2 linked regions of the Yarrowia lipolytica genome follow. The protein of the gene in region 2 binds, or shares a complex with, the protein of the main gene of each other region. Links are inferred from orthologs where the notes say so. Each region holds a gene or a part of one and is shown on either strand. Other genes may lie near its edges.

Region 1 (3,394 bases), on a different chromosome or scaffold from region 2:
AGGGAAGGAACCGTGCTCGTGTCTGCTGGTGCAGACCAGAGCATCCGAGTGTGGGACGTTAAGAAGAGCACTGTGGAGTCTGGACCTGAGCCTGAGAACCTGTCAGTTGAACGAGCCCCAGAGGCTGTATCTTCTGCTAAGGGTAACGAGGCATCCAAGAAGCGGGAGATTGTAGCAACCCCCGATCATATGGCTGTCTACCACACTAAGAGCAGCCCGGTTTACAAGGTGCAGTTCACTAGCAGGAATCTGTGTTTGGCTGGAGGAGCCTTCAATGGTTAGGTGTAATGTATTATAATTGACATATTAGCAACAAGAAATGAGCAAGTGCTTGTAGAAATAGAAATAGACCTTATCGCCTGGGTTTACAGATGAAAAAGAGGTTTTATTAGTGTGTGTGTTTAAATACAGAGGTTCTATTGTTGTCTGATCAGCACTTGACAGACGTGGATGTAAAGTGGCAGGGAAATAAGCAGTGTCTGTGGCTCGAGAATCGAAAGTCACGGACGATTTCGAATGACCGGCTTGGCAATATCCCATGGGCCTTGAATGTCGTTTTTGTATTTCTGAAGGGCCAGAAGCCACAGTGGAGCACCCACACTGACAAAGAGCTTAACTCCAATCCAGGCCCCCAGTGCCCACAGCCCTCCAATGACATAGAGGCCTGTAGCGGATAGGATCAGCAGTATGGACAGGAGCACCCAGTACCCGCGTCTGGAGGTGGCACGACACCATTGTGTAAACATGGGGAAGACTCCAAAGAGAATGACAGAAAAGAGCACGAAGCAAAAGACTGCCATTGTTGTACGCAGTTGAGAAGCTAGCACTATTGCTGCCAGCATAGCGAGATTTGTTGACAGAATAGGACGAGTCAATTTGAGCGAAGACGCGCCTGAAGCAGTGCGGGCTCCATCAGTGTAGTCGTGGAAACACACGTTAGCGAGCCCCAGCCAGCAGGCGATGGCCCAGATTGAGTCTGACGATGTGGATCGTGTCAGCGACTTTAGCACTGGTGACAGAGCAAGAAGGACAAATACAATGAGTAGCGCTCCCTTTATCGTAGAGGGTCGGCTCTTGTCGTCATTGTGGATCTTGTACTTCTCGTATACAAAGTATCCGGGCACTGTGAGCACAGATGCGATGATCGCAAAGAACTCGGGGTCCCACTCATGGTTGAATATGCCCAAAAACACCACCACAAAGACGACGATAGTGCACAGATGCATGATGATCACACTAGAGTCGAGAAACAGTGAGCGGAACGAGTACTGAGCCACATTGTCGTTTCGGCGCAGTTGCGACAGAAAAGACGAGTCCACATAGTTGTCGGGGTAGTCCTGCTTGACCCACAATAGTTTCTTCCATGGCGGACGAGTCGTCGGTTGGCAGTCGGGGAACACGGCGTCCGGATCATCAAAGCCCGATTCTTCCGTTAAAGGCTCTCCCTGCACTCCGGTCCATTCTCCTGTGGCTCGAGACCTCAGTTTCTGGATCCCGCGCGACATGTTGGCATCAGCAAATTAGCTTTGGTGAAGAGGTCAGCTTAAAGTTGGTGTTGGACAACATCAGATGTGTCGAGAAAGCGAGCATGAGAGGGTGATAATAGTGGTCAATGTGGGCGGAAAGACTCATTGAAGTTGAAAATCAACTTTTTAACATACAGGTAGATAAAAGAATGCCACACAAATTATTTATGGTACCACAAAATCAACCCATATTCCCTCTGCAATAATAAGACTGCTAAACTACACGTGCATGATCTGCAAGGGACGTTTAGATCGGTCGATGAAGTTGATTGATCTTTGAGGTGATAATATCCGAATAGTAATTACAGGTAAGTTGTTCGCTAAGACGATGAATGTCTCGGAGTCCTGGTGTTTATGCTTTAATATTATGTTAATCTCAGATATATTAGAAAGGAACGGAACGCGGAACGCGGAACTGATGTGGTAGCTTGACCACTGGAATCTATGCGAGCTATTTAGTAAGATGTGGGAGAAATTTCAAGTGCGAGTGAAAGAACATCCAGTTAGAACATGGTTCCAAAGTTGCTTCGTCCAACTTCTCGCCTGCTGTGAGTGTTGCCCTTGTTGGTCTCCTCCAGAATGTTGTTATTGGGGTTTCGAGAGTGCCTGAAGGTGAAGCCGACAAATGCTCGGTGGGGGATGGGGTTGCCCTTGTCAGCAAGGTTCTCGACCTGTGTTCGCTTGGCCATCACCTCCTGGTACTTCTCCATATCAGCCTCGTTAGAGAAATCATCAAAGTAGCCAGCGTCAACATCCGAGTCGAGCTGGGGGATGAAGGGAGGAGTCTTTTCTCGCAGAGTCTCCCATTCAACCTCGGCAAAGTAGGGGTGCTTGGCAATCTCGTCGAAAGACCGCAGTCTGTATCGAGCGGAGGTGATGAGTCGTTGGATGAGATCCCAGGTTCGGTCCGAAAAGACGTATCGACCATCATCGTACTTGGGCCGCCGAAGAGCGTTCTTCCACTGTCGCAAGTTAGAGTATGTCTCGTCAGGAGAAGCTCCAGCGAAAGGAGGGTAGCCGGCCAGAGTCTCGAACAACATGCAGCCCAGAGACCAGTAGTCAATTGTGTAGTCGTAGTTCTTTCCCTCCAGAACCTCCAGAGCCATGTAGTCAGGAGAGCCAACAATGGAGGAGGCGTAGTTAATGTCCGAGGCTCGCAGAGACCGGTACATCTTCTGTCGCTCGGTGAGCGATCTATGGGTGACCTGGACATCCTTGACGGCATCAAGACGAATTTTCATGCTTTCAACTCGGTCCTTGGAGATTGCTCCGGATGCAAGACCAAAGTCAGTCAGCTTGATGTGACCTGCCGAGTCGATGAGGAAGTTCTCGGGCTTGAGATCTCTGTGGATGTATCCGAGCTTGTGGAGGGCCTCCAGTGATGCGAACATCTCGGAGATGTAGAACCGCGCGTGTCTGGGGTTGAGGATGCCGGTGTTATTAAGCAGAGTTCGGTAGTCTCCTCCAGGGACAAACTCCATGGCGAGGTAGACAGACTCCTGGTCCTGGAAGGCGTAAAGCAGCTTGACAAGCCACTCGGACCGGGCAGCCGTTAGAATGTCTCGTTCGGTAAGAATGTGTCTGATTTCGTCCAGTTTAAGCAGCAGCTTCTTGTTAAGCACCTTGAGGGCGCAAATTTCCCGGGTGTCGGCCTTCTTGGCCAGGAACACCTGTCCGTAACCTCCCTGGCCGACTTGGGTAAGGATCTGGAAGTCGCCGTGCTTGAGACGGGTTCGACGCTTTCGCAGGTGAGCTCTTTCTCGGCCGACATACGACTTCCATTGAGTCTCAGCCTCGGCTTGGGGGACGCCTCCAAGAGCAGCCTTGGCTTTTCCAAGACGCTGCTGACGGCCGTGTACGTAAGTCAG
Region 2 (3,680 bases):
CCGAGCCCGCCCAGTATACTGGTGATGGAAGCGATGTCGCCGCTGGTCTAGGTCTGCTGGCCTTACTTGGACTTGGCGTCATTTTGATGTGAGTATTACGACAACTACTAACCCCAAAAAATGATCAAGACGTTCTTGATTAATCTACATTTTAATTTTTCATTTTGGTTTCTTTTTCATGTTCGACATCTACTTTTCAAGTGGCTTCTTTTTCGCATTTTTCTTGGCACTCTTCCTCTTCATTCCTCTTCATTCCTCTTTATTCTCCTTTATTCCTCTTCTTCCCTTTCTCTTCTTCGTCTTCCCTTCTCTTCTTCTTGTCTTTGACTTCTTCATGTCTTTGACTTCTTCCTTCTCTTTTCTTACTCCTTTCTTCTTTTTTCCCGCACACCGACTTGTGTCGCTCAGCGTCCGTAGCTAACCCAGCCCCCACCTCACCAACTCCACCTCCACTTAATTAGTGTTGACAGTAACCGCTCGACGGTATTCTATGCCGTACCTCCGCTCTGTGCAATCTTCTAGAGCCCTCCCCCTCGCTTTCATATTCTTGTCTATACTAACCATTTACCTGCTGGCACTCTGCTCCTTCGTTATCACAGGTGCTAGTTTTATTTCAGTATTTATAACCTATATAATCTCAATCACGATCTTATGCCCTCACACTTCCATGTCCCTCAATTAATACTGATTTCATAAGGGCAGCCCGTGGGCGTATCGATAGTTTATGTGTTATACGGCGTGTGCAGTTTATGGAGGGACAGTGGTTATGGGCAGAAGATGTATAAGAGTTACAGTAGATACAAGTCGATGTAATTTCCAACCACACCAACAATGCCCTTTCTATCTAACCATCCCTGTGACTCCACCAGCTTTTCAGAGTTTTACGAGAGTGATGATATCAGGGACGCTTTCTACAGCAAGCCCAATACCATCTTCAAGCGTGACTACGTCGTTGGGCTCAACAGAGAGAAGAAGGCCTGTCTTCAGGCCGAGATAACCAAGAAATACAACTCTCAAAAGACAGGACGGCTAGGCTACCTTCCTGTTGCCAAGTGGACATGGTACGCCATTCGGTACTGTGAGCTCTCTAGTCCCATGAATCTCCTTGCCGGTAAAGAGCTCTGCTACCGCAAGCCCCCCAACAATGAAAACGTTGCCTTAGCCTGACCTACTGTTTCCTTGAAACGCAGCAAGCGGGTCAAGCGAAACAATCGACCTGGCCGTCTGAGAGCCATTGCTGTTATTATGGCCGAAAACAAGCAGCTGGAACGGGACTACACACTCTTTTCTCTGCCAGTGAACCTCTATCATTTAGTCGAGCTGGCCAGTGCACATGAAGAGACAATCACCAAAACTGCGGCTCAGCGAAAAGTTATCAAAAGAGAAAAAGAATTGCAACTCGAGCGAAAACAAATGGAACACCTCCGGTCCTCTAAAAAGGAGTTCCTTGTTGAAGGTATGGCCTAAGCCTAAGCCCAAAAAGTTGGGATCTACCCGTCTGTGTATTATAGTAGATATTGTATTATAGTGAAGAATAAGTGAAAACGTAGTCATATCAAGTGTTCTCCGGTGCAAAAAAGTCATGGACGACCACACACATACCATTCGCTTCGCCCATGATGTATGCTCATGTTTAAGTTGAACCATGCTCCGTTATCTCCGAACGGCCAATAAAGTTTCGGGTACACACCATGATGCAGTTCACGTGACGAGACGCGCATCTTTGGAATTACTTACGGCCAAAGACACACCAGTCGTAACATACCACCACAACGCCAACCATGCCGTACAACATTGCCATGGTATCGGACTTCTTCTATCCGCAACCAGGTGGGGTGGAATTGCATGTCTACCAATTGTCTCAACGACTCAAACAACGTGGCCACTCGGTAGTCATCATCACACACGCATACGACAGCCGAACAGGAGTGCGGATCCTCACCAACGGAATTAAGGTGTACTACGTGCCGTTTTTCGTGCTCTATCGAAACTCCACCTTTCCCTCAGTCTTCTCTGCATTCCCTATTCTTCGAAACATCTTCATTCGCGAAAATATTGACATTGTGCACGGCCATGGATCTCTCTCGTCTCTGTGCCATGAAGCCATTTTGCATGCAAGAACCATGGGCATGAAGACCGTGTTTACAGACCACTCTTTGTTTGGTTTTGCTGACGCGGGAAGCATCGCTGGAAACAAGGCTCTGAAATTCACACTGTCTGATGTTGGCCATGTAATCTGCGTGTCTCACACCTGCAAGGAAAACACAGTGTTGCGAGCATCTCTGGACCCTTCAATTGTCAGTGTCATTCCCAACGCCGTCGTCTCTAAAGCATTCACCCCTGATCCAACCAGAGCAGACCCCAATTACATCACCATTGTTGTCATATCACGTCTCTACCCTAATAAAGGAGCCGATCTGCTCACCGTCATCATCCCACGAATCTGCGCACTCCACCCACGCGTTAAGTTCCTCATTGCAGGTTCAGGACCCAAGGAAATCGATCTGCAGCAAATGAGAGAACGATACAGACTGCAGGAGCGAGTCGAGCTGATTGGTAGCATTCGACACGAAGAAGTGCGTGATCTCATGGTCACAGGAAACATTTATTTGCATCCAACTCTGACGGAGGCCTTTGGAACCGTCATTGTTGAGGCCGCTAGTTGTGGTCTACTTGTGGTCACTACAGACGTTGGTGGCATTCCAGAGGTGCTGCCCTCGCACATGACAGTATTTGCCAGCCCCTCGGAAGACTCACTGGTGGACTCGACTATGAAAGCGATTGCGATCTTGGAGAAGAAGGAGGTCGACCCAACCACTTTTTACAACGAAATCAAGGGCATGTACAAGTGGTCGGAGGTCGCAAGGAGAACTGAAAAGGTCTACGACTCAATCAATGAGGAATCGTTGAATGAGCCACTGTTGGACCGACTGGCAAAGTTCTATGCGTGCGGGGAATGGGCTGGAAAACTCTTTGTCATTTGCGTATGCGTCGATGTTATGTTATATGCTATACTGGAGTTGTTTTGGCCTAGACACACCATTGACCGAGTAAAACCTTGGCCTCGAGTCAAGTCTGGAGAATAATCTATTCCAAAAGCATGGCCTGATATCTCTCAAACTGCAGTCTTTGCTGTGCTGCGACATGTTTGGATAGCTGATTTCGAGGTCTCCAGCCAGTGGGATTGTCGTCGAGCTTCAACGGCGTGGCTGCTTGTGCCAGCTTCTGTAGCTGATGAAAAGCGGCCTGCGTTTTCAGAGGCAGATAAGGATGGGCTTTGACAATGGGGGGTTTCAGGTCTTCCATCCAATCGAGGTCGTCTCGACCCTTTGAGTTCTCCAGAGTCAGGTGTCGGACCGTCTGGCGCAGGCTCTGAAGCTCGGTTTCCATCTGAGACTGATGGAGCGTATTTAAATGCATATCTACTATATCTTCCCCCTTGAGCGTAGACAATTTGAGTCGGTTTTGGACATGAGTCTTGAACCTTTGGGCATCGGCGTTCTTCTGCTCCAGCTTGGCCTTGAGACTCTCCACATCATCACGAAGTCGTTTCTCCGTAAGAGCAGCTTCATTGAGGTTGGCTCGGAGTTGCACAAATGCCTCTTCCTTCTCGGCGAACCGTTCGGCTTTTGAATCGTAGTGCTTAATCTTGATCTCCAGAGTCTCAATGGTCTTCTCTT

Evidence for each region.
Region 1: YALI1_A21509g (region 2) and YALI1_B18764g share a complex: the UniProt entries of both Saccharomyces cerevisiae proteins name them as parts of the phosphatidylinositol N-acetylglucosaminyltransferase (GPI-GlcNAc transferase) complex. The link is inferred for Yarrowia lipolytica from reciprocal best matches to the Saccharomyces cerevisiae genes SPT14 and GPI2.

Annotation. Positions count from the first base shown.
Region 1 is NC_090771.1:1,874,533-1,877,926, reverse strand, and holds YALI1_B18764g (uncharacterized protein), read right to left. Parts: upstream 1,506-3,394; coding exon 501-1,505; downstream 1-500. Other genes in the region: YALI1_B18798g (uncharacterized protein), read left to right, coding at 1-282; YALI1_B18741g (uncharacterized protein), read right to left, coding at 2,030-3,394. UniProt on the Saccharomyces cerevisiae protein: Part of the complex catalyzing the transfer of N-acetylglucosamine from UDP-N-acetylglucosamine to phosphatidylinositol, the first step of GPI biosynthesis.
Region 2 is NC_090770.1:2,149,085-2,152,764, forward strand, and holds YALI1_A21509g (uncharacterized protein), read left to right. Parts: upstream 1-1,781; coding exon 1,782-3,086; downstream 3,087-3,680. Other genes in the region: YALI1_A21477g (uncharacterized protein), read left to right, coding at 1-88, 427-457; YALI1_A21499g (uncharacterized protein), read left to right, coding at 832-1,061, 1,191-1,467; YALI1_A21550g (uncharacterized protein), read right to left, coding at 3,088-3,680. UniProt on the Saccharomyces cerevisiae protein: Catalytic subunit in the complex catalyzing the transfer of N-acetylglucosamine from UDP-N-acetylglucosamine to phosphatidylinositol, the first step of GPI biosynthesis.